4 linked regions of the Saccharomyces cerevisiae S288C genome follow. Changing the gene in region 1 together with any one later gene gives a genetic interaction. Each region holds a gene or a part of one and is shown on either strand. Other genes may lie near its edges.

Evidence for each region.
Region 2: of GPR1 (region 1) and RGT2, changing one enhances a phenotype caused by changing the other (phenotypic enhancement), as found in Saccharomyces cerevisiae (3 studies listed by BioGRID, with this or other methods).
Region 3: of GPR1 (region 1) and GLK1, changing one enhances a phenotype caused by changing the other (phenotypic enhancement), as found in Saccharomyces cerevisiae (2 studies listed by BioGRID).
Region 4: of GPR1 (region 1) and HXK1, changing one enhances a phenotype caused by changing the other (phenotypic enhancement), as found in Saccharomyces cerevisiae (2 studies listed by BioGRID).

The regions. Positions count from the first base shown.
Region 1 is NC_001136.10:387,123-396,205, reverse strand, and holds GPR1 (Gpr1p), read left to right. Parts: upstream 1-4,148; coding exon 4,149-7,034; downstream 7,035-9,083. Other genes in the region: ATP-dependent RNA helicase DBP10, read right to left, coding at 1-1,989; SLM3 (tRNA-5-taurinomethyluridine 2-sulfurtransferase), read left to right, coding at 2,294-3,547; pseudouridine synthase PUS9, read left to right, coding at 7,305-8,693. UniProt on the Saccharomyces cerevisiae protein: Seems to associate with GPA2 and act as G protein-coupled receptor that senses glucose and controls filamentous growth.
Region 2 is NC_001136.10:211,361-219,455, reverse strand, and holds RGT2 (glucose sensor), read right to left. Parts: upstream 6,106-8,095; coding exon 3,814-6,105; downstream 1-3,813. Other genes in the region: RDI1 (Rdi1p), read left to right, coding at 168-776; 60S ribosomal protein uL29 RPL35B, read right to left, coding at 1,089-1,448, 1,854-1,856; Arf family GTPase ARF2, read right to left, coding at 2,382-2,927; SCM3 (Scm3p), read left to right, coding at 7,410-8,081. UniProt on the Saccharomyces cerevisiae protein: Low-affinity high glucose sensor that is part of the sensor/receptor-repressor (SSR) glucose-signaling pathway, which detects extracellular glucose and induces expression of glucose transporters that bring glucose into the cell.
Region 3 is NC_001135.5:48,864-56,552, forward strand, and holds GLK1 (glucokinase), read left to right. Parts: upstream 1-1,974; coding exon 1,975-3,477; downstream 3,478-7,689. Other genes in the region: protein disulfide isomerase PDI1, read right to left, coding at 1-1,358; YCL042W (uncharacterized protein), read left to right, coding at 1,721-2,080; glucose-induced degradation complex subunit GID7, read left to right, coding at 3,782-6,019; ATG22 (Atg22p), read right to left, coding at 6,078-7,664. UniProt on the Saccharomyces cerevisiae protein: Two isoenzymes, hexokinase-1 and hexokinase-2, can phosphorylate keto- and aldohexoses in yeast, whereas a third isoenzyme, GLK, is specific for aldohexoses. All glucose phosphorylating enzymes are involved in glucose uptake.
Region 4 is NC_001138.5:253,092-260,671, forward strand, and holds HXK1 (hexokinase 1), read right to left. Parts: upstream 1,959-7,580; coding exon 501-1,958; downstream 1-500. Other genes in the region: proteasome regulatory particle lid subunit RPN12, read left to right, coding at 1-238; YFR054C (uncharacterized protein), read right to left, coding at 5,764-6,342. UniProt on the Saccharomyces cerevisiae protein: Catalyzes the phosphorylation of hexose, such as D-glucose and D-fructose, to hexose 6-phosphate (D-glucose 6-phosphate and D-fructose 6-phosphate, respectively).

The sequences.
Region 1 (9,083 bases):
AAATGCATTTTGAGCATCCCAGCCAGAAGAAATGATCTCTTTACTTCTCTTTAAAGATTCAGGGGAGGCGGAAGTGCGTGTTCTGTAGTAAAGTTTTTCTGCCTTCATGGCTGTTTTCTTCGCCAACTGAAGGTCAAAATTAGAGGACATCAGATTCTTATAAAGATCACCTAAGCCTTCAACATCCAGTCTTGGACATGAACCTAGAACGAGTCTTTTTGTGTAAGAAAGCTTTGGGGGTTGAAATTGATATTCCGGTTTTCCTTCATCTATCCACCTTTTCTTCATCACGTCGACTAGACTATCGTACATTGGTGTTAGAAGAATTTTTTTCCCCAAAAATAGCTCCAAATCTAATAGGTAAGGTAATTCATTTTCAGCGACAATGGAATATGCCCAACCTTTGTTACCGGCTCTTGCAGTTCTACCTACACGATGTACAAAAATTTTTGATGAACCAGGTAATGTGTAATTAATAACATTGGCTAACATTGGAATATCGACACCTCTTGCAGCAACATCTGTAACAACCAAAATGGAAGTTAAGCCCGCCCTAAAATTATATAATTGACGTTTACGAGCATGTTGGTCCAAAGTACCGTAGATGTACGAAATCAAGTATCCGCAGTCTCTTAAGAGTTGAGAAATGTATTCCACATGATGTCTTGTTGGAACGAACAGAATAGTTGCTTTTTCAGAAGGAAGTTCATTAGCTGCAGGCATTTTTTGTTTACGGAACTTTTCCTTCTTGAAATTCCTCCTCTTCTTTTGGCGATCATTTTCATCATCTGAGTCACTATCTGCCTCATTGTTACTATTTTGCAGCTTTTGAAGTTGTTCACTAGTGGCTAACGGAATCTTTATGATTTCTTGCAAAATATATAATAGGTTCGCCTCTCTATCTGCGTTTTTACTGGATAGAAAAAGCATTTCTAAGTTCTCTGAAACTTTCGTTTCCGCGTCCAAACGAACCAAAACTGGATTAACCAAACCAGCCTTAACAAAATCAACCAATGAATTAGGTAGAGTAGCAGAAAACAACAAAGTCTGTCTTGTTGTAGGCAAAGATGCAAGTAATTCATTCAACTGTTCTTGAAAACCCATTTCGAACAACCTATCAGCTTCATCGAAAACAACGTACTCAACACTCTTCAAATCGAGGTTCATTTCAACTTTCAGATGTAAAAATCTACCAGGTGTTGCAATAATAACGTCTGGGTTGGTCATCATCATGCCAAATTGTTCTTCCAAGGAATCACCACCAGTCAAGAGGACGCTTCTTAGTTCTGTTCCTCTGGCAAAATCCTTGAAAACGTTGAAAGTCTGCATGGCTAATTCTCTGGAAGGCGATAAGATGACTGCACGGGCGCCAATTTTACCTGAGTGACTTTTCAATTTTTCCACCATTGGCAAGATGAATGCTGCAGTCTTACCAGAACCGGTACGTGCCATACCAACAATATCCCTACTTTGCAAAATTAATGGGATAGTCTTCCTTTGAATAGGAGTGGGTTGGCGAAATCCCTTCCTTTTAATATTGTTCAATACAATTTTGGATAGGCCAAAGCTGGGAAAACTACCTTTTTTATGCTTTGTTTTCTCCAAGTTATTTGTGGAGAAATATTCATTGACATCATCCTCATCATCACCGGTTTGAGTTTTACCAGATGCATTGTTTTCATCATCTGACATTTCTAACATTGGAAATGCTGCTATTTCCTTCTTACTATTCTTTTTTTTCTTGATGTCCTTGTTTTCAGCCTTCTTCTTATTGTTCACTCCTTCTTCTTCATCTGAGCTGTACTCGATCACATCCTGGACATCGTTGGGACCATAATCAGCTTCAACTTCACTATCGGAGTCGTTAGCATCACTCTCACTATCATTTAAGGCAATTTCATTTGCAATATCAAAGGCGATGTCGTCCTCCTCGCTTCCATTGTCGTCTTGATCTTCGAGATCCCTTTTTCTTTTCTGCACGCCTGCCATATTCTAGGTTAAAGAGATATGTGGTGGTAACTTAAATGACAAAAGTACTTTTAGTGACTTTACTTCAAGCAGTAGGAAGTTAGTGAAGTACTAGTAACTCTCTGTAAAGCCATTTTGTATGAATTTCATCTCATCGCTTGAAAATTTTAAGAGCGCCGGGTAGTAACAATTGGTCTCTTATTTTTTTCTTTCAATAGTTGAGGCAAAACATTGCTTTATTGTAAAAGAATGAAAGTTTGGAAACATACAAGAACGTTAAAAATGTGAGCGTATTGATTTGGCAATCGATTCAAGTCAGATAACAATGCTGGCAAGATATTTAAATTTAATAGGACGGAGGAGTGCTTCACCGTACAGACCACAGCGGCTACCGGCAAAGTTTGACAACGTGATAGTGGCAATGTCATCTGGGGTAGATTCCTCTGTGGCGGCAGCACTATTTGCCGGAGAATTTCCAAATACCCGAGGAGTATATATGCAGAACTGGTCTGAATCACAATCTTTGGACGACCCTGGCAAGGAGCCATGCTACGAGAGGGATTGGAGAGATGTGAACCGTGTCGCTAAGCATTTGAACATCCGAGTTGACAAAGTTAATTTTGAGCAAGATTATTGGATAGATGTATTTGAACCAATGTTGAGAGGCTACAGTGAAGGGTCGACACCCAATCCAGATATCGGTTGCAACAAGTTCGTCAAGTTCGGCAAGCTGAGAGAGTGGCTGGATGAGAAGTATGGGACGGGTAACTATTGGCTTGTTACTGGTCATTACGCCCGAGTTATGCAGGAAATGAATGGAAAAGGATTATTCCATTTACTGAGAAGCATTTATAGGCCCAAGGATCAAAGCTATTACCTTTCACAAATCAACTCCACTGTTTTGTCATCTTTGTTGCTACCCATTGGCCATCTAACGAAACCAGAAGTACGAGATTTAGCGAAGTATGCAGGCCTCCCGACTGCAGAAAAGCCTGATTCACAGGGCATATGCTTCGTCAACAATTCCCAGCATGGGAAGTTCAAGAATTTTTTAAAGCACTACCTACCCAGTTCACCGGGTGATATCATTACCGTTGACCCACAATCCGGTGCCAAAACGACATGGGGCAGACACGATGGATTGTGGTCTTACACAATTGGACAGAAAGTGGGCATATCCATGCCACAAGCTGACCCTAATTACCAAGGGACCTGGTTTGTCAGTGAAAAACTAAGGGATACCAACGAAATCTTGATAGTCAGAGGAAGAGATAATCCGGCGCTATACAGTGACACTATGCGAATCGAAAACTTTTCGTCTTTGGGCCCCAGGGAGGACACTATAAACGCTTTCCAAAATACTGGTGCCTTGACATTACAATTCCGGTCCCTGCAGGTCCCAGTCCAAATTAAATCGTGCAAACTGAATCGCTCTGCCGACAACCTCGACATAACAATACACTTAGCCTCAAAACAACGTGCCATAACTCCTGGGCAATCGTGCTGTCTATATATCGACGATAGAGTCCTTGGGAGTGGGCCCATTTCCCATGTTAATAATAATGACACCCATGCATAGTGATGATAATGAATTTAGTATATCACCTTATACGATGCGCCGCAGCAATTAATCTTAGCAACATACTTGCCTAATTGAACCACGGTGGTACGATACAGCCAAGAAGAGCTCATGAAGCGGCTGACCATTTCGAAAAGTAATCTGTATATATGAAGGTCTTTTCCCTTGAATCATGTCTCAATAAGTAGTTCATTTTTTTTTGCCCTCTTGTTTTTCTTTTTCATTTTTTTAAATCACACTTTTTTTTCTTTTCAAGATTTATAAATCTTCCTTCCAGGTTTGAGCCGGACCCATTGTTTAATTAAAGCATAGAAGGCAACGAAGGAGTGGGTTATAGAATTAGCATTGCGGCAAAAACGTCATATTTATTAATATTTATTTGCGAAGGTCATATTCAACGCAATCGCACGTCCTCTTCCGTCTTTTTTCTAGCTTTTGTCCTTTTTTATTTGTCTACATCCCTTTCTCTACGGTATCCAGAAGAAGGTGTGTGTGTGTGTGTGTGTGTGTGTCTATAAAAAGCAGTAAGAGTCACCAAAAAAAAAAAACGACAAACAAGTGATCCGAAGTGTGACGAATAAAGCAAACTCTCCAACTCAAAATGATAACTGAGGGATTTCCCCCGAATTTAAACGCGTTGAAAGGGTCATCCTTACTAGAAAAGAGAGTTGATTCTCTCCGACAGCTTAACACTACCACGGTTAACCAGCTGCTGGGGTTGCCGGGGATGACCTCTACATTCACGGCTCCGCAACTGTTGCAGTTAAGAATAATAGCTATAACTGCGTCTGCCGTGTCCCTTATTGCCGGTTGCCTCGGAATGTTCTTCCTTTCTAAAATGGATAAGAGACGAAAAGTCTTCAGACATGATCTCATCGCATTTTTGATAATTTGCGACTTTCTTAAAGCTTTTATTCTGATGATTTATCCCATGATTATCCTTATTAATAATAGTGTGTATGCAACACCTGCATTTTTTAATACCTTGGGTTGGTTTACGGCCTTTGCCATCGAAGGTGCAGACATGGCCATAATGATATTCGCCATACATTTTGCTATTTTGATCTTCAAGCCTAATTGGAAATGGCGAAATAAAAGATCGGGAAATATGGAGGGTGGCTTGTACAAAAAAAGGTCATATATCTGGCCAATTACTGCATTAGTACCTGCCATTTTAGCAAGCTTAGCCTTCATTAATTATAATAAACTCAATGACGATTCTGACACCACTATTATACTGGATAATAATAACTACAACTTTCCCGATTCTCCCAGGCAAGGTGGCTACAAACCTTGGAGTGCATGGTGCTATTTACCACCCAAGCCGTACTGGTATAAAATTGTTTTAAGCTGGGGTCCCAGATATTTCATTATTATTTTCATATTTGCAGTCTACCTCAGTATTTATATTTTCATTACCAGTGAAAGTAAAAGAATTAAAGCGCAAATTGGAGACTTTAACCATAACGTACTAGAGGAAGAGAAAGAAAAGAAAAAATTATTTGGGCTCGGTCACTGGGGAAAAGCCAAATGGTATTTCAGATCCTATTTTAAATTGCCATTGCTACATCTTTTGAGAAATTTAAAGAATTTTTTCACCATTTCGTTCATAGATCCGAATGAGGAAACAGACGATTCAGGTAGTAGTAATGGAACTTTCAATTTTGGTGAGAGTTCGAATGAGATACCTACACTATTCAGAAAAACAAATACAGGTAGTGATGAGAATGTCTCGGCAAGTGGTGGAGTTCGCTTACTTGACTATAACAGTGCTAAACCACTCGATATGTCCAAATATGCAATGTCTGAACAGCCAGATTTGGAAAGAAATAATCCTTTTGATTGTGAAAATGACATCACACTCAATCCTTCGGAACTAGTATCCAAGCAAAAGGAGCATAAAGTTACTTTTAGTGTTGAAAATGAAGGACTGGATACAAGAAAAAGTTCAATGCTGGGACATCAGACTTTCTCTTGCCAAAATTCTCTAGAATCTCCTTTAGCAATGTATGATAATAAGAACGATAACAGCGACATAACTAGTAACATTAAGGAAAAAGGAGGCATCATCAACAACAACAGTAACAACGACGACGACGACAACAACAACAATAACGATAACGATAACGATAACAATAATAGCAATAATAATAATAACAATAATAATAATAACAATAATAATAATAACAATAATAATAACAATAACAACAACAACAACAATAATAATAATAATAGTAATAATATTAAAAATAACGTTGATAACAATAATACTAATCCAGCCGATAATATTCCTACACTTTCTAATGAAGCATTTACTCCGTCTCAACAATTTTCACAGGAGAGAGTGAATAATAATGCAGACAGATGCGAAAATTCAAGTTTCACCAACGTACAACAGCATTTCCAAGCCCAAACCTACAAACAAATGAAAAAACGTAGGGCACAAATTCAAAAGAATCTAAGGGCAATATTCATTTATCCACTGTCGTATATTGGGATATGGCTTTTCCCCATCATTGCAGATGCGTTGCAATACAATCATGAAATAAAGCATGGGCCTACCATGTGGGTGACATACATTGACACTTGCGTTCGACCATTAAGTTGTCTCGTCGACGTCATTGTTTACCTGTTCAAGGAAAAACCTTGGAACTATTCATGGGCAAAAACAGAATCAAAATATCTCATTGAAAAATATATTCTGAAAGGAGAGCTTGGTGAAAAGGAAATTCTGAAGTTTTGTCACAGCAATTGGGGGAAAAGAGGTTGGTATTATCGTGGTAAGTGGAAGAAAAGAAAATGCTGGAAATATTCTACAAACCCTCTGAAGCGTATACTGTGGTTTGTTGAACGCTTCTTTAAACAATTGTTTGAACTAAAACTACACTTTAGTTTTTATGACAATTGTGACGATTTTGAATACTGGGAAAACTACTATTCAGCCAAAGATTCAAACGATAATAAACGCACAGAATCTGATGAGACTAAAACGAATAGTAGCGATCGCTCCCTTCCATCAAATTCACTTGAACTACAGGCAATGCTTAATAACATCACGGCCGAAGAGGTTGAAGTGCCCTTGTTTTGGAGGATCATTCATCATATTCCAATGCTTGGCGGAATAGATCTTGATGAGTTAAACAGATTGTTGAAAATACGGTACAATAACGACCATTTTTCTCTACCCGGGTTGAAATTTGCATTAAACCAAAATAAAAGTCACGATAAACATCAGGACGTCTCAACTAACAGTATGGTCAAATCCAGCTTCTTTTCAAGCAATATTGTCACAAACGATGATGAGAATAGCATTGAAGAGGATAAGAATTTACGCTATTCAGATGCTAGTGCATCTGAAAATTATCTGGTCAAGCCCACAATACCAGGTACGACTCCTGATCCAATAATTGAGGCGCAGAACGATAATGATAGTAGTGATAGTAGCGGCATAGATTTGATAGCCTTCTTAAGAAATGGACCATTATAAAGTTTTTGTATCGCGATGTTTGAAAATGGAAAGTAAGGAACGTAATACAAATTGACAAGTAGCCGACATGAATGACGCTCACTTCTCTTATATATGTTAGGTAGTATATGCATTATAGAATTTATTCATTGAAGCAATGTGATTCCTCGATAAGTAAGCTTTTTTTCTGTCTGGCGGCGAACCATTAGAGAACAAAAGACCGAGTTAAGAAAAAGTTCATAAAAAACTTTTGAAAATGGATGAGTGCTCGTATAATGGAATAGGAAACTTATGCAAAGAAATAATAGGTTAAGAAATTTGTTTACAGTGCCAGTAATAATGGCTCGACAACTCAAAAGGAATGCATTATCTGCAGGTCTTGCTTTTGCAGGTAATGCAACCTCAAATGAGTTTGATGAACATTTGCAAAATGAGGTTGAAAGAGAGAGGGAAATTCAAAAGAAAAAAAAAATAAAGCGAACTCAATCAAAAAAATCGCCAGATTTGATTAATAAATCTACTTTTCAATCACGAACGATAGGCAGCAAAAAAGAGAAACATAGACAACTAGATCCAGAGTATGAAATTGTCATCGATGGCCCTCTAAGGAAAATCAAGCCCTACCATTTTACGTACAGGACCTTTTGCAAAGAGCGTTGGAGAGATAAAAAATTGGTTGATGTCTTTATATCTGAATTTCGAGATCGTGAATCTGAATATTATAAAAGAACAATCGAAAACGGGGACGTTCATATAAACGATGAAACTGCGGACTTATCTACTGTAATTCGCAATGGTGACCTGATTACGCATCAGGTACATAGACATGAACCTCCAGTCACTTCCAGGCCTATCAAAGTTATTTTTGAAGATGATAACATAATGGTTATTGATAAACCGAGCGGTATACCTGTTCACCCAACTGGCCGATATCGGTTCAATACAATTACGAAAATGCTTCAAAATAATCTCGGATTTGTTGTGAACCCATGTAATAGGTTAGATAGGCTTACAAGTGGATTAATGTTTTTGGCAAAAACTCCGAAGGGAGCCGATAATATCGGCGATCAACTAAAAGCTCGAGAAGTCACTAAGGAATACGTGGCCAAGGTAGTTGGAGAATTTCCAGAAACGGAAGTAATTGTTGAAAAACCTCTAAAACTGATCGAGCCAAGGCTTGCTCTTAATGCAGTTTGTCAAATGGACGAGAAAGGAGCCAAACATGCAAAAACTGTTTTTAACAGAATCAGCTACGACGGTAAAACGAGTATTGTAAAGTGCAAACCGCTTACCGGGCGATCACATCAAATTAGAGTACATTTACAGTACTTAGGCCACCCAATTGCTAACGATCCTATTTATTCCAATGATGAAGTATGGGGTAACAATCTCGGAAAAGGCGGCCAGGCTGACTTCGATATAGTTATTACTAAGCTAGACGAAATAGGGAAAAGAAAACCTGCTAAAAGTTGGTTCCATAGTAATGGCGGGTACGGTGAGGTATTAAGGCAAGAAAAATGTTCTATTTGTGAATCTGATTTGTATACTGATCCTGGCCCCAATGATCTTGATCTGTGGTTACATGCCTATCTATACGAATCAACTGAGACTGAAGAAGGAACCGAAAAGAAAAAGTGGTGCTACAAAACAGAGTATCCAGAATGGGCTCTGAGAAGATAGAGGTTCCTGACTTGTCGGACAATAATACATAGAAAACTGGTCTTCTGTTATAATCAGTCATTGGCCAATCAAAAATGACAGTAACAGAACATCACGCTACAATCTTAATCTTAATTTATAAAAAAGCTAAAATCTTTACAGGAGGAAGACAATGAGATGTGAAGAATGACCACTTCTCCTTTTCTTTTCCATTTCTTTTCTTCCACACTCCTAGTATTCCCGGTAGTATTCTTTTCGCAACCTAAAATTTCACGTAGCAGAGAAAATCGGAGTCTTGAAAGTGTTAACCATAAAATTTCATTGATAAAATGATCTTCGAGGCTTTCTGCTATCCAAATCCACGTTTCTTTTTATTTATTTATTAAAAACCATAAAGTAAAAACTTTGTTA
Region 2 (8,095 bases), 180 kb from region 1:
CGGTTCTCTAACGCGATCGTTTAAATTTCGCGATAGATCAGGGAAACGTTATAAAGATTGAGTGGAAAGAACTTCCATTCTTCAGGCTGCTTGTATTACTTTGATTCTTTTTCTAGCCACACGAATAACTCGAGTATTGAGCTTTTTTATTAGAGAAAAACTGAATAATGGCCGAAGAAAGTACCGACTTTAGTCAATTCGAAGAGGAGAGAAACAACGATCAGTATAAAGTTTCAGCCAAAAAAACTGTTGACGAATACAAAAATCTGGATGCTGAAGACGAATCCTTGGCGAAATGGAAAGAGTCTTTGGGTCTAAGTTCAGACGTCTTGCCATTGGAATTTCCCGGTGACAAAAGGAAGGTGGTTGTTCAAAAAATTCAATTACTAGTCAATACAGAACCAAATCCTATCACATTTGATCTTACCAACGAAAAGACAATCAAAGAACTGGCATCTAAAAGATACAAAATTAAAGAAAATTCTATTTATAAGTTGAAGATTGTGTTCAAAGTTCAACATGAAATTATCACAGGGTTGCGATATGTCCAGTATATCAAAAAAGCGGGTATTGCCGTTGACAAGATAGACGATCATTTGGGATCGTATGCTCCTAATACCAAGACCAAACCATTTTATGAGGTGGAACTACCGGAAAGTGAAGCACCTAGTGGGTTTTTAGCAAGAGGTAACTACAGTGCCGTATCAAAATTCATTGATGATGATAAAACTAACCACTTGACTTTAAATTGGGGGGTCGAAATTGTCAAAAAATAATAAGTTCTTGAAATGCACAATGTAGATATGGCCTGTATAAACAAGAGCATACCTTTATCTACATATGGATTAATACGACTTTCCTGTTCTACTACACTTTTTTTTTCTTAATTTCAAATTGAAGTATAGGGGTAGGGCTCCTGACTGATTATGACGTCGGATCCTATGACAAAGATGGCAAATAAAAATTTAATGTAGTATATTGATTTAGCTAGTAGATCACTAATAAAATAAATTGCCGTTTGGTGTTCTTAAAAAATACAAATTAAACTATATCCAAAAATCAAATATTAAAATGATAATCTAACGAAATTAAGCCTTGATAGCGTACTTTCTTTGTGGGAAAGCGATTTGCTTCTTTCTTTGCTTTTCGGTAACTTGGGAAGCTTCGAATTTGGTCAAAGCTCTTCTCAAAGCTCTGGTCTTCTTGGCTCTCAAGTCCTTTGGTTGGTACTTCTTACCCTTGTATAATTGTCTAACAGCTTCTCTTTGTTGTTCGTTGATGACGGTCAAGACACAGGCGATACTCTTTCTGACGGTCTTGATCTTTGGCAAAGATGGTCTGGACAACTTTTGGACCTTCAATTCAGCCAACTCCTTTTTCAAGTCAACCAATTGAGAAGCTAATTGTTCCTTGGATTTGGTTCTTAGTTCGTAAGCTTTAACGCCGGCCTATTGATAAGAAAATGGGAACAAAAAATCATAACTGTTAGTAAAAGTTCCTGTTTTTATGAGCCAGTTTCAAATTTTTAGATTCTCGTATACACTAATACGCTCTGTGCAATGCATTATCCAAAAAAAATAGTTCACATGTGGTTCCAGGTTTCTGAAGACCAATATTATAATTTCGAAAACTTCCAAACAATTTTAACAAGTGCCATAAACTTATAAATTTCTGTTACCAAGTTGTAGCTGGTGAGATCTCTCTGATATTTGCCTGCAAGGTTTGCAGTAATACTGTAGCTGTAAATTTTCTTCAGACCACTTGATTATTTATCCTGCAGACATTAAAGGAGACTTTTTTCTTCCATAGCACATTATATCACGTCCGTTTCATGTATATTCATCTCTACATACCATTTTTAGTCCTATTTGGTTCTTTATCGTGTTCTCACTGTACTACCAAACCCCCAAAAAAGAGATGTGAGTAGATTTTCAATATATCCATTTCTCATATGATGACGATTGCAGGCCTCTATTTACCCTCATCTTCAGTAAAATTTCACAATCGACATGAAAAAAAATTCAAATGTTTGGGTGCTGAATCCATGGTGGAAAATTCGTAGCATATGCCAGACTTTGTGTTGGACTCGCTGCCGTCAGGCAAACCACAGATGCAATATTATAGAATAAAATGTACGGGTTCAAAGCAGGGCCTCTTTTCATTTTTTCATATAGTAGTGGTATAATTCTGAATGTCATCATGGCGCCCGTTACAAGCCGTTGCAATATTAAAGAGCTAGTAAGTTTATTTTCAGTGCACCATCATTATCCTATCTTATACAACTATACAGTGGTTTATATCTTCAACAATCATAAAAATAAAACAATCTAGAAACAAAACACACAAGGTCCGCATGACTAAACGTTCTATACAGATTTAGATTAGGATTGATTCTTCAAGTTGTTGCTTAACCACTCCAGACCTTCGTACAGACCTTCACCCGAGGTTGCACAAGTAGACTGGATAAACCATGGACGGTTTCTAATAGAATGTAAACCTAATTTTTCGGTGATTTCAGCAGCAGACATGGCTTCTGGCAAATCTTGTTTGTTAGCGAAGACTAACCAGACAGCATTTCTCAATTCATCTTCATTCAGCATTCTCTGCATGACTTCTCTGGCTTCACCAATACGCGATCTATCGTTGGAATCGATGACAAAAATAACACCTTCGGTGTTTCTGTAGTAGTGTCTCCATAAAGATCTAATCCTGTCTTGTCCACCGACGTCCCAGACAGTGAAGGAAATGTTCTTATATTGGACAGTCTCAACGTTGAAACCAATGGTTGGAATGGTAGTGATAACTTCGCCCAACTTCAACTTGTACAAAACGGTGGTCTTACCGGCACCATCTAGACCAACCATAAGTATACGCATCTCTTTGTTGCCAAAAAGATTGCTGAATAACTTAGAAGCGTATAGACCCATCTTTTCTCTATGAAATCTTAATTCCTTTTTTTTTTATCTCTATTGGTTGGCTGATGTTAGTAATTACTACTTAAAGAAAAAAAGAGAGATATTGAGCACAGAGACGCTAACAAGAAGAACTTCTGTTGACTTTGTATGTCAACTCCTTATCTTCGTTCGAAAAACATCAGAGCCGTACTGCTCGACTCCCCACAATTAGGATAACTAGGCCCTATTAGATAATCAATACGGCTTCCTGATCAAATAAAGGGGCGCCTTTAGGAACTCATCCCACCGTTCAGTGGAGAGAGTCCTTCCTTCTGGGTATGATATAACACGTAGTACCAGATAGTGTCGTGCGTCTATCCCTCCTAATGAAACTCGTTACATACAAAGTGTCTGCCTTATCTTTAGCCTATTGCAACTTGAGTCTGCGTAGAAAGTTTCCGAAGAATTAAACTACTATTAACAAAGGGAATGGAAAGAGCTAAAACAGTTCAACCGATAACAGGTGACGAGGTAACAATAATCGCACACGTCCGATCTCCTGTAAGGGTATATGTGTACTATTCAAAAGGAGTACGTGGAGGTGCAAGATCGAACAACAACAACCCGCATCTGGAACCCGGTGATTTAGGAAACCATACATCGTTAACGTACCACATGATGTAGATTATCCGGGTAATAGTTATGATCAGTTGACCCATTTTGTATTCCACTTGACACCGAATTAACGAGGAAAAATCAAACTCATGGGCTACTTGTGAGTAATGTTATGTGTTATCTATAATTCTTTTCTATGTCTATCATGTTGGAATGTTAAAAGAAACTCAAGAGTGCGTGTATAAGAATAATTTATATAAAACGGTTTATAAGACCTCGAACGATCGTAAGATGCTATTGGTTTTTATTGGGGGGAAGTGTATTGGCTGTGCTTACTAGCGAGGTCACTCGTCCAATTAGAGGACGTTCTTGCATTGCTATTGTGTGATGGAGAGAACGATGTGTCGTTGCTTGTAGTAGATGAGCTATTGATTAGTTGAGCCATATATGTATTGACGCTGTTAGCTCCATTTCGTTCAGTGTTGTTATTGTAATAAGAAGAGTCATTTTCCTCATAGAACTCATCAGTAGAGTCAGAAATGATAGAAGGAGGACCTCTATTGTATGTATTCAGACCCAAACCATTCCCCAAGTCGACGTAATTTACTGGCGGATGTTCCACGGGTTTAAACTCTGTAGATGTTAGGGGGGCAGTATCGATGATGTTTACTAACGAGCCACTTCCTTTATCCGCCGCAATCATATGATCATTGGACTGTATTTGGTTCTCCAAGAATCCATCCACATCGATTATGTTGTGGCTGTCATCCTGTACAATTGGACTGTTGTTGTTGTCCAACTTTCCAGCGTTCTTGATATTAGTTTTCATCTCTATTTGTTGTGAAATGGGAAAGGCTAAGCACCTTTTCCTTATTTTTTTGTTCCATTTGCTAGAAATGACGCTATTTGGGGCCTTTCTAAATAACTCGTCAATCTCTTCCAAAGTCAATCCCCTCGTTTCATAAACAGCGAAATAAACAACGATAACGGCCACGACATTTAAGCCGCCCCAAATGAAGAATATTTTGGGCCCCATTGAAGAAGTGTGTGATCCGACATCAACAATGTAAGGTGTAATCAGGGCACAGGTGAAATTAACTAGCCAATTTGCGGCAGCGCATATGGCGGTACATTTCGATCTGACACCAAGTGGGTACAGTTCAGCAGATACCACCCACACGACACCACCCCATGTCGCCGAAAATGCAGCAATGAAAAGGCATATAAAAGCAATCATAATTTTACTAGCAACAACAGTTTTTCCCTCGGAAACACCAACGATGGCAATGACTAAATTTGCTATTGCCATTATGACACCTCCAGCAAGAAGGACTGGTCTTCTACCAATTCGATCCACTAAATACATACCCGGTATACTGAAGGCGACGTTGACGGCATAGCTGATAAAAGAAACCAAGTAAGAGTTGTCCACCCCTGTGTTGTTGAAAAAATTAACTCCATAGTAGAATATAAAATTGATACCAGATGCCTGTTGAAAAGCTTGTATGGCGATACCAGTAAATATTCGTAAAATCTGTTTGGGTCTATTTTCACTTGTTTTGAAACAATCTAAAAGTGTTGACGGGCCGAACGATGCTTCATAATCGTAAGTGGCTTTTATTTCAACAAGCTCCTCTAAGAGTCTTGGATCTTCGATCGGGAGGCCTCTTAAAAAGGATAACGATTTTGCAGCTTTATTGAGTTCATCCTTCAAGACGTAATATCTTGGACTCTCTGGAAGGAATATCATGCCCACAGCTAAAATACTTGACCAAACGTACTGCAAACCAATTGGTATTCTATATGAAGACGGGCCATTTTTGGAATGAGTTCCTTGCGATACTGCACTGGACACGAGTAACCCAATAGTGATAGCCCACTGATAACTGGAAATGATGGCACCTCTAAGGTTCTTCTGCGCAGCTTCAGCTTGATAAAGAGGAACCACAGCAGAGATTATCCCGATCCCGATACCTGAGATCACTCTTCCGACGATTAATAGCACCAAGCCACCGGATGCCACCTGTAATGAGTTTCCGATGGAAAAGATAACAGCGGTACTAAACATAATTGTTGGCTTCCTACCATATGAATCTGAAATATAGGGAGCGATTAACGCACCGAAAAATGTTCCTAGGGAGAGGAATGATACGAGTATGGCTATTTGGCTAGTGGTGAAATATGAATGGTTCGGAGCAATGTAGGTTTTAACATACGGCATATCCGTGATACTGTTTATAAGTCCAGTGTCATACCCAAACAAGAAGCCCCCCACGGCAACAAATATGCCTACCAAGACAGACATCACATTCGATCGCAGCGGCAGCGGTTGCGATAGTAGAATGGACGTGGTTTCTATAGCTCCATCTCCCGCCGGCTCATTATTTGTGTAGGAAATTTGGTATGCGTTAGGATCGTCGCACATCACTATGGACTTTGCTTCCGTGTCATTCGTAGATTCTGTGTATGCATTGCGGTGTGGCATGTTGTTATGATTTATCGTACATTCTGCACCCTGGTGGTGGCCGAAGTCATTTCCAGGATTCAGATGACTATTTTCTTCCCTCTGTCGTAGGCAGTTTTGGCTATCGTTCATACAAGCAATATTCGAGATATTTCCATATATATATAGTGGTTTCTGTGCAACTTGATGGTTTAGACTATTGATACTATTCCTGATCTGCTCTTTAATTTCACAAGCGAATGCCTTAGCGTCAACTAAAAAAAATGAATACTGGATGTTATATGAAATTAGGCAAAGGTTTATTGTTCGATGCTCTCCACTTATGAAATAGATACGCTGAAGAGCTTATGTCTGTTCCATGTATATGTTCTACTTTCGAGGTGGAGGAAGAAGCAAAGGGGAAGCGTGTACGGCAGGTAGTCACCGTTGAGTCGGTAATGAGATAATAGCCAAGCGCGGAATTAGATTTTTTTTAATAATTTTTGCCCATTGCGGTAAGTATCACACTTTTTCACATATGAGCCGATTAAATTCTTTGTTCAATTTATCTCGGGGAGGAAAACTCAGATAAGAAATGACGGAGTTAGATTGAAAAAATCGGAAATCATTTTGTTAGGCATGCGGTAGAATTGGATAGGGTAGCGGCGACATCTCTATGCCGATGGACGATGCAGGAACAGGGAACCCTTTTCTTGCAAGGAAAAAGGCGCTAGTATCACAATTGCTACTTTTCATTAAAAGGTTATCTGTGCCATGTATATACCCTGCATATCTGAAATAAAACAGATTTTTTTTTTGTGAATTGGGTTTGACTTACTTTGTTGTAAGGGCTTCAGCTTGTTAGTTAATTTTAAGGAATTATTAAAAGAAAAAATCCTGCTTATCATTTTTTTTTTATATTTTGTTGTTGGTTTCAGGAAAAAGGGAGCTTTGCAAAAAAAAATAAAAAAAAATTGACAGGATGATCTATAAATATATTAATTGACCTATATAATGGTTTACACTGTATGGTTTCTAATCTGTACAAAAAAAAAAAAAAAAACCCTACAGAAATATGTTAAACAGCTAATAAACGAAATCCAATAAGAAGAAAATGTACCTCAGTCCAAGAATGGGCTATTATTATTTTAAGTTTCGAAAGTTTTTCCACTAAAATCAGAACTAAATAATGGAATGGCCGTCTGCCGGATCAGCATAAAAACATCTTCACAAGTTTCATACTTTTTTTGTCTGAAGCTGTGAAGCTTTACTTTAAGTAACTGTCATCTTTTCCTATTGTAACGTATTTTATATAATGCGCAGGCGGAAGGAGAAAGTTTCAAGGGCGCCATGAAAAAAGCTTCAGTACCGCGATTTTTCAGCTAATGGATCAGATGATATATAAACAAAAAGTGGGATACAGCATATCGACGCCTCCACTACAAATTAACAGAAGGATGAAAACCAATAAGAAAATTTCTAAAAGAAGAAGCCTGAAAAATCTCCATGGTGCCTTAAAAGGACTATTGAAAGAGTCCGGCAAGAAGAGTGAGTCCAAAATACGAAAACATAGCGATTGCAATCCTGTTCATCGAGTATATCCGCCAAATATCGAAAAACGGAAGACCAAAAAGGACGATGGAATTTCACGGCCAATTGCTGAAAGAAATGGTCATGTGTATATAATGTCCAAGGAAAACCACATCATCCCTAAACTAACCGATGATGAAGTCATGGAGCGCCACAAACTAGCAGACGAAAACATGAGAAAAGTGTGGTCCAACATCATAAGCAAATACGAGTCTATTGAAGAACAAGGAGACCTCGTAGACCTGAAAACTGGTGAAATAGTTGAAGATAATGGGCATATCAAGACGCTGACGGCCAACAACAGCACGAAAGATAAAAGAACAAAATACACAAGCGTGCTCAGAGACATTATCGACATCAGCGACGAGGAAGATGGTGATAAAAATGATGAATATACTCTTTGGGCTAACGATAGCGAGGCAAGCGATTCAGAGGTGGATGCTGACAACGACACTGAAGAGGAAAAAGACGAGAAATTGATAGACGCAGATTTCAAGAAGTACGAGGCCAAACTCTCGAAAAGGATATTACGAGATTAAGGTGCTAAAATGCC
Region 3 (7,689 bases), on another chromosome or scaffold:
ATTGTTGGGTAACCTTCAATTACGACGCCTCTGACATCGTTTTCAGTGTGGTCTAGTTTAGCAATCAAAACGTCGGATGTGGCGTTGGCGTAGGTATCAGCTAGTTCTTGGTAAGTTGGGGCCAATCTCTTACAGTGACCACACCATGGGGCATAGTACAAAACAAGAACGTCCTTCTTTGGGTCGTTGACGATTTCGTCATGGTTCTTACCGACCAATTGGAAGACAGAGGAATCTTGGTTCTCGAAGATCTCTTGGGACTTCACGATTGGGGAGGCATCACCTTTCAAGAAGTCCTTAACCAAAGATTCAATAGCCTTAGACTCCAACACGATCTTGTCGCTCAATTCGTCAAACGCCTCTTCAGAGAGTTGAGGCAAACCGTACTTCAAGTCTTCAGTCATGTCGTGGATGGCAAATAGAGGGAATTGTTCCTTCATGTTCAAGTTGCCGGCGTGTCTGCCGAATTTTCTGGCATCGATGCTAACAAAGTTCATTAGACCTCTGTTCTTTTTGGCCAACTCGGTAAAGAGAGGCTTGTATTCTTCCAATTCTTCCTCGTCATTGTAGAATAAGTAACCCAAAGGCAAACCGCTTTCGACGTATTGGGCGAAAACGGAACCGTCGATTTCACCAAAGTAGGGCAAGGCTTCCACTTGCAACCATTTTTCAAAAACATCAGCGTCAGCGATATCGGCTTTCTTACCGTTGTATACTACAGGCTCGTCCATGGCGGAGGGCAAGTAAATAGAAAGCTTGAAATCATCGTCTGCGTTTTCAGCGGAGACAAAGTCGTAGTCGTTGAAGTGTTTGTTGGCCATGGAGTAAAAGGTGGCGTTGAAGTCGGCGTCAATCTTACCGGATTGGACGATAACTGGAGTGACAAAAGTCTCGTTAGCAAGGTAAGCTGGTAGATCAGCAACAACGGCGACAGCCGGTTGGCTTTGCTTGATCATGAATTGGACAATGGCCTCGGCAGTTCTAGGTCCCTCGTAATCGATCGAGTTGTTAACATCGCTGTTTTTGAAAATCTTCAAGCTTGGGAACCCTGGAATGTTGTGTTCCATACACAGATCCTGGTTTTCAGTACAGTCGATCTGGGCCAAGGTAATGTTTTTCTCAACTAAAGTCTCGGCGGCTTTAACGTATTCAGGAGCCATGTTCTTACAGTGGCCACACCATGGAGCAAAAAACTCCGCAAGCACCAAGTCGTGCGACTGAATGTACTCATTGAAGGAGTCGGTGGCCAACTTAACGACAGCGGAGTCTTCAGGGGCCACAGCCTCTTGTTGGGCGAAAACAGAGGAGGCGAGCAGCAGGGAGGACCATGACAGGACGGCACCAGCAGAAAACTTCATAACGGGATAGATGTATGTTTTTCTTTATGTAGAGCTTGGCAGCTTTAAAATTACCAATTAGACATGCTGCTTGCAACAAGAAAATGCACGCGTAACAAAATATATATATATATATATATATATATGTATGTCCATACGGGTTTTTCGTTTTGTTGTGGTTGTAACAGCACAACAAAATGCTACACGGTGGCAAATTGGAAAAAGAGACTAGTGAGAGAAAAGGGAAAAAGAGGCGCCGCCCGACAGGGTAACATATTATCACGTGCAGCCCAGGATAATTTTCAGGACACGTGTTTCGAAAGGTTTGTCGCTCCGAAAAAATCAAAAAAAACAAAAAACGGGAAATAACAATAACGACAAAAATGGAAAAAAAAAAAATTTTAGACGCGGCGCTTGCACCCCGCATTATAAGTGGTGTGCCGACGGACGGTCAACCCCTTTCAGGGGGCCCCCTATCTTGGGCGTGGTGTCACACCACGCTCAAACGGTGGGCACTAATGAAAACGCGCCCATATAAATATCCGCTATCAACAGAACCCCCAACCCCCCCATCAGTGCCCAACTCAGCTTCCGTAAACCACAACACCACCACTAATACAACTCTATCATACACAAGATGTCATTCGACGACTTACACAAAGCCACTGAGAGAGCGGTCATCCAGGCCGTGGACCAGATCTGCGACGATTTCGAGGTTACCCCCGAGAAGCTGGACGAATTAACTGCTTACTTCATCGAACAAATGGAAAAAGGTCTAGCTCCACCAAAGGAAGGCCACACATTGGCCTCGGACAAAGGTCTTCCTATGATTCCGGCGTTCGTCACCGGGTCACCCAACGGGACGGAGCGCGGTGTTTTACTAGCCGCCGACCTGGGTGGTACCAATTTCCGTATATGTTCTGTTAACTTGCATGGAGATCATACTTTCTCCATGGAGCAAATGAAGTCCAAGATTCCCGATGATTTGCTAGACGATGAGAACGTCACATCTGACGACCTGTTTGGGTTTCTAGCACGTCGTACACTGGCCTTTATGAAGAAGTATCACCCGGACGAGTTGGCCAAGGGTAAAGACGCCAAGCCCATGAAACTGGGGTTCACTTTCTCATACCCTGTAGACCAGACCTCTCTAAACTCCGGGACATTGATCCGTTGGACCAAGGGTTTCCGCATCGCGGACACCGTCGGAAAGGATGTCGTGCAATTGTACCAGGAGCAATTAAGCGCTCAGGGTATGCCTATGATCAAGGTTGTTGCATTAACCAACGACACCGTCGGAACGTACCTATCGCATTGCTACACGTCCGATAACACGGACTCAATGACGTCCGGAGAAATCTCGGAGCCGGTCATCGGATGTATTTTCGGTACCGGTACCAATGGGTGCTATATGGAGGAGATCAACAAGATCACGAAGTTGCCACAGGAGTTGCGTGACAAGTTGATAAAGGAGGGTAAGACACACATGATCATCAATGTCGAATGGGGGTCCTTCGATAATGAGCTCAAGCACTTGCCTACTACTAAGTATGACGTCGTAATTGACCAGAAACTGTCAACGAACCCGGGATTTCACTTGTTTGAAAAACGTGTCTCAGGGATGTTCTTGGGTGAGGTGTTGCGTAACATTTTAGTGGACTTGCACTCGCAAGGCTTGCTTTTGCAACAGTACAGGTCCAAGGAACAACTTCCTCGCCACTTGACTACACCTTTCCAGTTGTCATCCGAAGTGCTGTCGCATATTGAAATTGACGACTCGACAGGTCTACGTGAAACAGAGTTGTCATTATTACAGAGTCTCAGACTGCCCACCACTCCAACAGAGCGTGTTCAAATTCAAAAATTGGTGCGCGCGATTTCTAGGAGATCTGCGTATTTAGCCGCCGTGCCGCTTGCCGCGATATTGATCAAGACAAATGCTTTGAACAAGAGATATCATGGTGAAGTCGAGATCGGTTGTGATGGTTCCGTTGTGGAATACTACCCCGGTTTCAGATCTATGCTGAGACACGCCTTAGCCTTGTCACCCTTGGGTGCCGAGGGTGAGAGGAAGGTGCACTTGAAGATTGCCAAGGATGGTTCCGGAGTGGGTGCCGCCTTGTGTGCGCTTGTAGCATGATCTTTTTACATTTTTTTGGTTTGTGTACGTATCCCACCGTACTTACCATCTTCTCTCCTTTATATATATATATATATATGTATATTTTCAGTGTATATACATACATTCTTATACAATACCGTATAAGAACGTATGTATGTATGTATGATTTTCTCACATTAATGAACAATATCATCGGAAACGGGCCTTTGGTTTTTAAGGGAAAATGAAGAACAATAAATGCCTTGCTAGGTCTTCCTTTATCATTTTTGGAAGTCAAATATGAAAAACACTTCCAAGGGGGCGTACTACTTCAACTAATAAAATGTCACACACTAATAAGATCGCATACGTGTTGAACAATGACACGGAGGAAACAGCCTCGCCCTCTTCCGTTGGTTGTTTTGACAAGAAACAGCTCACTAAATTACTGATACATACTCTAAAGGAGCTGGGCTACGACTCCGCCGCTAACCAGTTACTGCTAGAGAGCGGCGGATATCAAAATGAGTCTAACCACATCCAGACTTTCTTCAAACTCATCAAGACCGGCCAATTCCATCTTATTAATTGGCAGATTGTTTGCTCGCTGCCCCTTGCCCATAGCTCTCCGCTAAGGTCCGAATGGCTTCAAAGGCTGCTCATTCCCACGCCGACGCCCGCCACGACTTCACTTTTCGACCACATGCTCCTGCAACTGCAATACCTGCAACAGCTGATGAGCTCTGTAAATTCATCTACTTGTTCGGACGCAGAGATCGCCACGCTCAGAAATTACGTAGAGATCATGATTCTAGTTAATAGACAAATATTCCTCGAATTCTTCCATCCAGTCACAAATTCCGCCTCTCACAAGGGCCCTCACACTGCACTGCCCGTCCTGTATTTGCGCAAAATCCTCAAAAACTTCATCGAGATATGGGATTCCCTGCTGGTGTCTAACGATCAGTTCCTAAATGAAGAAAACATCTTCAATCCGGAAACGACCTTGAGAGAACTGTCGACGTACCTGACCAACCCAAAACTAACCGCGCAGTTGAACCTCGAGCGAGACCATCTGATTGACGCCATCTCCAAATATATCGATCCGAACGAACTCGTTCCCAAGGGTCGTCTCTTGCATCTCTTGAAACAGGCCATCAAGTATCAACAATCACAAGACATTTTTAATATCATCGATCCGGATGATGACGCCTCTTTCTCCTCTCCACCCCACCGGATCAACCTTTTGCAGGATAACTTCTCACACGATCTGACTGTGACCTTTCAAGAATGGAAGACTATCCAAGACACCACAGACGAAATTTGGTTTTTGACATTTTCGCCCAATGGCAAGTATTTGGCTTCTGCGACTTCCGAGTCTTCAAGAGGCTACTTCATTACTGTTTATGATGTGGAACAAGACTTCAAAATTTATAAGACTTGCGTGAGCTTGTCACAATCCGTATTGTACCTCATGTTTTCTCCTGATAGCCGGTATCTGGTTGCTTGCCCTTTCAGCGAAGATGTTACCATTTACGACATGAATGCCACCTCCCTGCCCGATGCGTCTGCCACAGACTCGTTCCTACTATACCCTTCTACCAGGCTCTCGCCCATGGACTCGTTTAAACTGGACACCACCACGTACCCAGATGATACCGAATCATCAGCATCATCTTCCTCGAGGCCGGCAAACGCGAATTCTAATCAATCAAGAGTATGGTGCTGCGATGCCTTCCACACTGCGGAACGTGCGGGCTGGATGGTGGTTGGATCGCCCGACAGAGAAGCTATTGTACACTCACTCACCACGAAAGAGTCACTTTTTAGCTTAAAAGGCAGGACTTGTATCGCGTTGGGCCACGATGAAAACATCTCTGGGAGAAAATCAATCGATCCTGCAAAAGTCCTTTACAAACCAACAAGTAGCAATGGTAACTGGCAATATGTGGAGGACGACGAAACCTTTCCACGTGTGCACGACGTGAAAATCAGCTATGACGATAAATACGTGCTTTTAATGACCCACCAGGGCGTTATAGATGTCTACGATTTCAGTGGGTTCCCCTCCAAAGAGGAGCTATCTAAGCAAACAGTGGATCCCAAAAACTTTCTGATTCCAAGGATCGCAAGATTGGACGTGGGCAAAAACATGACTTGTATCTCATTACCGCTAAATACCACGCATCAAGGCTTCCATAGGCAACAAATATCCGAGTCTCAACATTTGGTATTAGTTAGCCTTCAAGATAACGAATTACAAATGTGGGACTATAAAGAAAATATTCTCATACAAAAGTACTTTGGACAGAAGCAACAGCACTTTATTATCAGATCTTGCTTCGCCTACGGTAATAAGCTTGTCATGAGCGGATCAGAAGATGGTAAAATTTACATTTGGGATAGAATTAGAGGTAACCTAGTATCTGTTTTATCCGGTCATTCCACGGTAATGAGTAATTCCACAAAACCCATGGGGAAAAATTGTAACGTAGTTGCATCAAACCCTGCAGATAAAGAAATGTTTGCTTCTGGCGGTGATGACGGTAAGATAAAAATCTGGAAAATTTCAAGAAATTAATACTCCACCTTATATATATACGTAAGCAAAGTTTTATGTAACAAAAAAAAAAAAAGAACTAATCCAACCTTCTTTCACTTTCAGGTAAAACTTGACTGAGTTCTTCAGCCTCTCTTCTACCTCTCTTGACATCCAAACAGTTTAGCACAGGCAATGATAGCATCAAAAGCAAAAAGAAGAAATAAAACGAATAGCGAATATTATGCGTTTTATCGGTAAGCAGTCCAACAAGGAAGGGTCCCAGGATGGACGACCCCTTATCTGTGATACTGAACATACTAAAAAACGTGGATTCTTTTCCTGGAGGTACAATCAAACTGAAAACTGATCTTGAAACCGCGGACAGGCCACCTAGTGATAATCCATACCAAATGGCCAATAAGAACATTTCAAACTTATGCTTTAAACCGAACGCATTGAAGAAAAATCCAAGAATACCATAAAATGGTATGAAACTTGCCCAAATGATAATGTACATCAAAGTTTGACTAGAAGTCCACCGAAACTTTGTGGCAAGAAATTGTGGAATCATAAAGGCACCCAGCATTGCATTTACAACGGTCAAAACACTTATCATGATTAAATTGAGGGTACTCATGTGCAGTTCTGCCTTGGAGAACAAAACCGCTGTAGAATTTATAGTTGTAATGGAATCACTAATAATAAACCACGCAATAAGAAAAATCATCACATCTTTCAATAGTCTGGCATGTTTAAACGATTCGAAAAGCGAAACCCAACCATATGAAAGGTAATTCTTCCAGTTTAGTTGACCCAAGGCGTCTTGCTCACCGGGATACGGACTGCGGGCGGATGCTAATGTAGAATCGTCAACTCTTATCGGTATTGTCACATCGTCAATCAACCAGATCATGGGCAGTTGCCACACAAACCACCAAATCCCAACGAAAAGAACAGCCACTTGAACATCCTGCTTACTGCCCTTTTTAGATGCGACTAAGAACATAGATACAATCTGAACAATGAGGGCACTTGAATAACCTAAAGATGCACCTCTACCGCTAATAACAGTAGTTAACGAGTCTACCTTATCAGGTTCATAAGCTCCTTGACTTTGACATTTCAAAGAATCCTTGACAAAAATGGGCAGAAGAGAATTCCCAACAACATTGATAACGCCAAAACAACCATTGGCCACTATATAAAGCCCAGCCAGAGAATAAATCTGGGTATCATTCAATTTTGAAATCGCAACAGTCGACAATGCGCCCACAATACCAAACCAAACCAGAATTCTGCCTTTGAATTTAACGCTCCCCCAGAGATCTACTATCCCTGAAACGGAAATGACTATTATAGTTTGGAATAAAACGCTAAGGGAAAAGACATATAATGCAAAACTTGAAGTATCTACGAAGATCCGATTGTTGAACAAACCAAGAACACACTTATCTGAATCACTACCCGTTTCTGACAGGCAGGGTATGGAGTGATCGTGAACTTTTACACCATTTATACTCGCAAATTGCTGCAGTAGTAAGGGAATATACGTTGAAACCGCAGAAACGACAAATGGTTCGCTAGAAAATGAGTAAGCGTACCATCCCTTGATATTGTTTTGGGCTTTTTTTATTCGATAGTTCGTTACCGATTCATTCATATCATTTATAGTTCCATAGCTCATATCTAATGTAGAGAATATGTTATGA
Region 4 (7,580 bases), on another chromosome or scaffold:
CTACGACTTTCTCCCTCTCTCCAACATAAAGGCTTTGCTCTTTTTCAACAACGAAAAAGAAACTGAAAAATTTGCACTAGAGAGAAACTGGCCTATTGTCAACTCGAAAGTTTACTTCAATAACCAATCAAAGGAGAAAGCTGATTACGAAGATGAAATGATGCATGAAGAAGACCAAAAGACAAACATTATCGAAAAAGCAATGGATTATGCCATAAGTATTGAAAATATTGTGTAATATTTGTATATATAATATGTGCACAAAATTACTACAAAATAAACAACTTTTTCTCTCCCGGAGAACAAAGTAAGTGGAAAAAATTATACTAATAACAATCTAAAAATGTTTATTAGCTAGGATTATACACATAAATATATATATATGTGTGTGTCTATATTTACATATACTAGACCGCAAAAAAAACATAAGGGCATCACTCATAAGAATAATAATATTAAGGGAGGGAAAAACACATTTATATTTCATTACATTTTTTTCATTAAGCGCCAATGATACCAAGAGACTTACCTTCGGCAATTCTTTTTTCGGACAATGCAGCAATAACAGCAGCACCTGCACCTGAACCATCCTCAGCTGGAACAATCGTAATTGGATCTTTGCTTGCGTCACCAGTCCATCCATAGATATCTCTCAAACCCTTAGCGGCGGCTTCCTTGAAACCTGGGTATTTGTTATAGACAGAACCGTCAGCGGCAATGTGACCAGTCTTGTAACCTCTCTTTTGGCAAATAGCGGCAATACCACAAACAGCTAATCTAGCAGCTCTGGTACCGATCAATTCACAAAGTCTTCTAATCAACTTACGTTCTGGCAGAGTGGTCTTGACACCAAAGTCCTTTTGGAAGATGTCATCAGTATCTTCCAAGTTTTCAAATGGATCATCCTCGATTCTTGCTGGGTAGGAGGTATCCATGATGTATGGTTGTTTCAACTTGCTTAGATCTTGATCCTTCAACATCAAGCCCTTCTCGTTTAATTCAAGTAACACTAGACGCAACAATTCACCCAAGTAGTAACCGGAGGTCATCTTTTCAAAAGCTTGTTGACCAGGTCTTGGAGATTGTTCGTCGACAGCAACATCGTACTTGGTTCTTGGCAAGACCAAATGTTCATTATCGAAGGAACCATATTCACAATTGATAGCCATTGGAGAGTTACTTGGAATATCGTCTGCTAATTTGCCCTCCAACTTTTCGATATCGGAAACAACATCATAGAAAGCACCGTTGACACCAGTACCGAAAATCACACCCATCTTAGTCTCTGGGTCAGTGTAGTATGAGGCAATTAAAGTACCAACAGTATCATTAATCAATGCTACAATTTCAATAGGCAACTCTCTCTTGGAAATTTCGTTTTGTAGCAATGGGACGACATCGTGGCCTTCGACATTTGGAATATCGAAACCCTTGGTCCATCTTTGCAAAATACCTTCGTTAATCTTGTTTTGGGAAGCTGGGTACGAGAAGGTGAAACCTAATGGTAAGGTGTCCTTGGTGTTTAGCAATTCTTGCTCGACCATAAAGTCCTTCAAAGAGTCGGCAATAAAGGACCATAACTCCTCTTGGTGCTTAGTGGTTCTCATGTCATGTGGTAGTTTATACTTGGATTGAGTGGTGTCAAAGGTATGGTTACCGCTCAACTTGACCAACACGACTCTTAAGTTAGTACCACCCAAATCAATGGCCAAATAGTTACCAGATTCTTTACCTGTTGGGAATTCCATGACCCAACCGGGAATCATTGGAATGTTACCTCCCTTCTTTGTCAAACCTTTATTCAATTCGTCGATAAAGTGCTTAACAACCTTTCTCAAGGTCTCGCTGTCAACTGTAAACATATCTTCCAACTGATGAATTTCATCCATCAATTCCTTGGGCACATCAGCCATGGAACCCTTTCTAGCCTGTGGTTTCTTTGGACCTAAATGAACCATCTTATTTTTTCAGTATTCTAATTGAGTTGTTTGGGTGAGTTTGATTAAAAGAAAAGAATTCTAATTGAGTATTGCAAGCCACAATTGTTTCTTATTGCTCTTCTGCTATATATTGCGCTAAGAGAAAGAGAAGAATACAAGATGAAGGAACGGTAGAATATTCCCAAGGAAGTGAAACCGATTGCTTATATACGAAATATTCCTCTTTAAAGAAAAGGAGGAAACAGAAGCAGTTGAGAACAATCTTTGTTGCGTTCACTTGTTACTATTCCTCTCAACGGTCCTAAGGTACCAAAATCCGGGGGGAGAAAGAAACTTTTTCTTTTCATCAACCCCTTAAAAAAAAATGCATAGTTCTTAGGTCTTCCATTTTTTCTTTTGTTGGTTTTTGCAACCAGAGTATTTTTCCTGGTTGCTCCAGTAAGGTATTTCGCTATCTTCCAACAAACGGGGCACACGTGCGGGAGTTTCAAAGGGGCAGAATAGTGGGGTTCAGGGGCATAAGAAGCTCACACAATGCGGAAAAACAAAAGGGGACTGCCATTCTTCCTGAAACCCACGCGTCACTGCTATACTGAGATCTGGCCAGGGGCAACCAGTATACTTAGTGGATAAACGACAGGAACACGTACTCCTTAAAAGCGTCTAAATCTTCATTTTTCCGGTTTATTTCCAACCGGGAAATAAATTATTCCTAATAAAATTTCCGGGGTTTGCAGGATGCGGGGTAAAAGTAAAAAAATGAAAAAGATGTAAAAAGAAAAGTTCGAGGTAAGACCAGGTGCAAGGAGAATACTGGGCGCCAATGCTTTTACTGCAGCGAAGAAAAATTCTAACCGTCTGTTTCGGTTGCTAATTTTTGTCTTACTTTCGATGGTTAGGCTTCGTGGGGTAAAAGTCGAGCTTGTTTTCTGAAGCGGAAATTACAGCAGTTTGCTAGGTGAGTTTTAACTTTCCTAGTTGCATCCCATGGTCTAGATAATCACCCCACCCCACGCCATTCTTTTTTTGCAACACGGGCTTTGTTCCTGAAACAACTGGCATGGAAGATATTCCGGGGTTGTTTAACAATAAACGTGTAGAGTACAGGTAGAATATAGGCGAAGCCGCGGTGAGCACGGAATCGCGCATGGAAGAAAACACACCAGGTAAGCCTTTGGAACGCCATGTGTAAGGTGCAATGCACATGAGTGATTGTTAAAAACAGAAAAGTAAAAATTCCGATCTTGTCTGGAGGATCAATCGTCCTCTCAGTGCGTTTTCTTGGCGAGACAATTCAATTCGCTTTATGCTCTTTTTTTTTGTGAATTTAGCCAATTCCGGAAAAAACATAAAAAAATGGTTATGCATTCTTTATTTTGAAGAATGAACTAGATATACAGTAATATACTAAATTGTCAGCTCTCGGCATAATTCAATGGCCGGAAAGTAGTACTATTAAAAAGAAGTGCGCTCAAAGAATAACTCCGGGAATAGGTGATGTAGCTTTTGGTGCTGGAAGCGAACCGCTTTCATGTGTTTTGGTCCCGGCTGTAGTGTTCTGCGGAGTTGCACTGGTGCTGTTGGTAGAGATTACGATTTTGGTAAATCCTGGTGTGACGGCTACATCAGTACCTCTAGTTAGACCAAACACTAATTCAATGCCAAAACTTAGACGCCCGATGATATTCCTTGTATATATATTATTATCCGCTATGGGCACAGAAGTATGTTTAACAGTAGCAGAAGCGACTTATGTATGGATGTCCAACAACGAAGATGCCACAAACGTCTTCGTAGTTTTATCCACGGCGCCAGGTCTGGAGAATGGACACCAGGGTACTAAAATCATTAATTGCTCTTCCACCATCCTAACGTTGTTGACATTTAGTGTAGATACTTGGTGAAATATGTGCTTGTGAAAGCGATTGTCCATTCTTTATATATAGTCATGAAAGTAGTTAAAGTGAAGAATATATTAGAAGCTTTGGGTTCAAAAGAGGACGGTGAAGTGGCTCGCTTTGTTAATATATTGATTTATCCGAAACCCGGGAAGCACTCTAGAACTATGCCTTAGCATTTTAGTGGTCGAACTAGCCAGTTTTTCGATTGTTGGATGTGTTGTAATGACGGTATTATTTTTGCTCAATGAGTTAAAAGGCGAAAGCGTCAAATTGTAGGTCAGAATATGACTGACAGAATCAAACTGTCTGACAATTGCACAGGAGGATTGGCCGGAGTAAAATCGTTTAAGGTAGTATAAGCAGGTTGAGCAGACAATTGGCTAGAGCTAGCCATTGAGCCTAAAGAATTGCGAACAAGTCGGATAAGACAAAGGGAACTAATGTACAAGATCTTGTATCCTGAGAAGAGGAAATAAGTACTCAAGAATGGGCCAGAAATAATGTTAGAGTTTATAGGGGTGACAGCCCTTGAGCTAATAAATACTACAATAACAGTGTCCGTTTGAATGCTGGTCGGTGAATCAATCAAAGATTTGGTTGCAATGATATGTGCAATTTTGCTGATGGAGCTTGCTAAAGTTGTGATATTAGTCGAGATCCAATTAGAACGGATTAGGCGGGAATCGCTTGAGGGATCGCCAAAAATACTTGTGATTTGTGTAAGTTGGTTGTAATGCAAACCTGCTATCTTTACTTTCGAACAAAATAGATGAATCAGCGGCTAAGTATTCTGTGGCTAATGTGCTAGATACATGTTGAGTACTGCTATTTGTGCGCAACCGTTCTAACAATGCTGAGAGATGATGAATTGAATATATCAGAAGTTTTACTAGCTACAGTAGTTGAGGTACCAATAGTGGGGGTATGCGAAAATTTACTAAAAGCACTGACTGGAGTTGTGGTACTAGTGAATACCTGGTCCAAATAGGTTATGAAGGAATCATTTGAGAATTGGCTAGAAGCAACTAAAACGCCCGTGGATTGAGGTTCAGATTTGCTACTGTCGCTTTCGAAGAAGCTAGATGAACCACGGGTAAAGTATTCTGCATCTAATGTGTTCAATAAATATTGAGTGACGTTATCGTAATGTTACAGTACTAACACCGCTAGAAAATGCTGGTGTGAATGTGAATGACGATAGACGGACTGATGCACTTTTCCATTGTACGATAACATTACTTACAAGATTGGGAGAAGCATGATTGAAAATTTGACTGGAAGAACCACTTATATTAGGAGTGGCGGTATTAGTAGAAAATTGACTAAACGCATCCGAAAATTAAATAGAATTTAAAGTTTCCTTGGGTGCACTGTTTTGGGCTGCAGTGCTAAAATCCAGAAGTGTTGGAGTCAGGTTACTTGTTTGCATACAGACATTACTGAAGTTTTCAGAAGGCCTTTGAATCGAGAACGAGATAAGGAAGTGTCCTCTAAATGCAATTTTAGAGCTCAAAGTGAGGATAGTGGCACTGAAACTTGATTTAGTTAATGGCCTTTAGATTTGCTGCTGTCTGAAAAGCTCATCATCGAGAAGCTCACAAAATGGAGTTCTAGTTGCCCTTTCACTATACAATCGATGTAAAGATGGCTTATAAGTATTTGAATTGTAAGTTTTGTGCTAGCTGAGGAATCAAAAAATGTATTTAGTGCTTCCTTACTGGTCAATTGTGTATTATTTCCAGATGAAACAGAAAATATGTATTTTATGGATTGACTAATCAAGTCACTTGCTGATTGTGTAATAGTGGTGGTTAAAGAAAGTACAGTAAGTTTGCTTGAAATACAGGCAGGATTCCTGGAATACTGCCTACTACTGCTTATTGAATAGAGTGTAATCTCGCCAAACCCAGTAATAGCATCGTTTAAGAAATGGTGCTTACTTGTAGGTAAAACTTCTGAAGGATACTGAGTAAATGTAAAATTATATGAGTTAAGGCAGAATGACTGTAAACTTTTGTGACGAATCTGGAAGATGCATTCGTCGATTGGCCTTCATTAAGTGAAGATTGGTAACCTATTGCATCCAAACCAGAAGTAATACAACCAGAATGTGGAGATGAGGAGCCAACAGGTGTGTATCCAGAAGGTTCAGCCACAGGTTGGTCATCAATACCACTGGGGGAGCATGCAATATAATCAGATGGTTGCGAGGAATAGCTAGTAGAGCTAAAACTGAACACATTAGTTAAGATTAGACTAGCCATGCTCAAAGAAACAATTAGAGAGGCACCTACATGTTCGTTATCCATTTTTGAGGAAAAAATAGAAGTGATAATAATAATTTTGCTCGAACTACTCGTAAAGCTACTTGAAAAACGGCTCGAGATTACGGAAGAGTCGGTAGTAAACCGACTCTCAGTGTCACGGAATGGAAGCGCCTTGAAACTACTAATATCAGGTATGCATTGAGGGGCAAGGCAACCTGAATATGCAAAGAGCATAGTCTTAACTTTCGTAGTACGTAATACTTCGGCATTAATTTGGCCTACCGCTTTGCCACAGTTGAGTGGTCACTGGAGTATTAGCCATGAAAAAATGATCCCTTGTATATCCAGGCCCAAAGTCTAAAATGTACTTCCTGCCAATGGTTGTCACAGCTAATATTCCATTTTGAATTGACTTGATTTTTAGATTATTATCATGGAACCAAGTTGATGTCTTGCAATTTCTGATTTTTAACGATGTACTGGAGGTTGACGACTAGGCAAATCTGCGAAACATCCTAGTACAATGGCATTTGGTTCTGATGACAAAACAATAGTTTGTTCCTCCACTGAAATGTTATTCAAATCTTCGATATAAAAAATGCGGTAATTTCAGACCCAAAGACATCCATTACCCATCATGCTAAATTGTGGGATAAGATATATATGGTTAATTGATCTGATTCAGCTGCAATAATATCGGTATTTATTATGGTACCTTCCATGCTCTTTGCCGAACTGCAGATAACCTGCGTCTGCAAATTGCAGGAATTACTGAAAATGAAATTGCTAAACTTTGGGAGCTACTAGAAGAAAAATGAGTACCTCTCCTACTTATATTTCCCATTTTCTTGAAGGTTTCTCCTTCCCATATAAGAATTCCAAACGGTGTTCCTTTACAAACCCATAAGGGTATTAAAATGATTCTCAAAATTTCCTACTGCACTATTGTTTTTTCTTTCTAATAGATGAATCATCCGTACACACACAGAGACCACCGTTTACTTTCATATCAGAATAGAAGTTGTGAAAGCTACCTACGAGACTTAAATAAACATCTTTTTCGATGGTGAGCTTTTCATGGTAATTCGTCGAGACAGTAACTGTTTTGCTCTTTTCTATGATGTCTAAAGCCAAAACAATGTCCATCAAGACTAGCGTAATAAAAATCAACCTGCTCATTGACAATTGGATTATTTTTGGCTGTTCAAGATTAAAACAGACTCAGTAGGCAAAAACTTCAATCAATAGTACCGGGAAGATGACATTCCGGTCTAAGTGGTATTATACACTTATAGTAAAGTCACGTCAACCTTTGTTACTTTTCTTAATTGATTATATACGCACTCTTCTCAATATTTGATTTCTTCATCGAAAAGATCTACACGAAGTTTTTATCATGTGTTAGCGTGATGGAAAAGATCTGTGCACGTTTAATTAGAATTGCAAAAGCTTCAATGGGTTTGATTGAGATT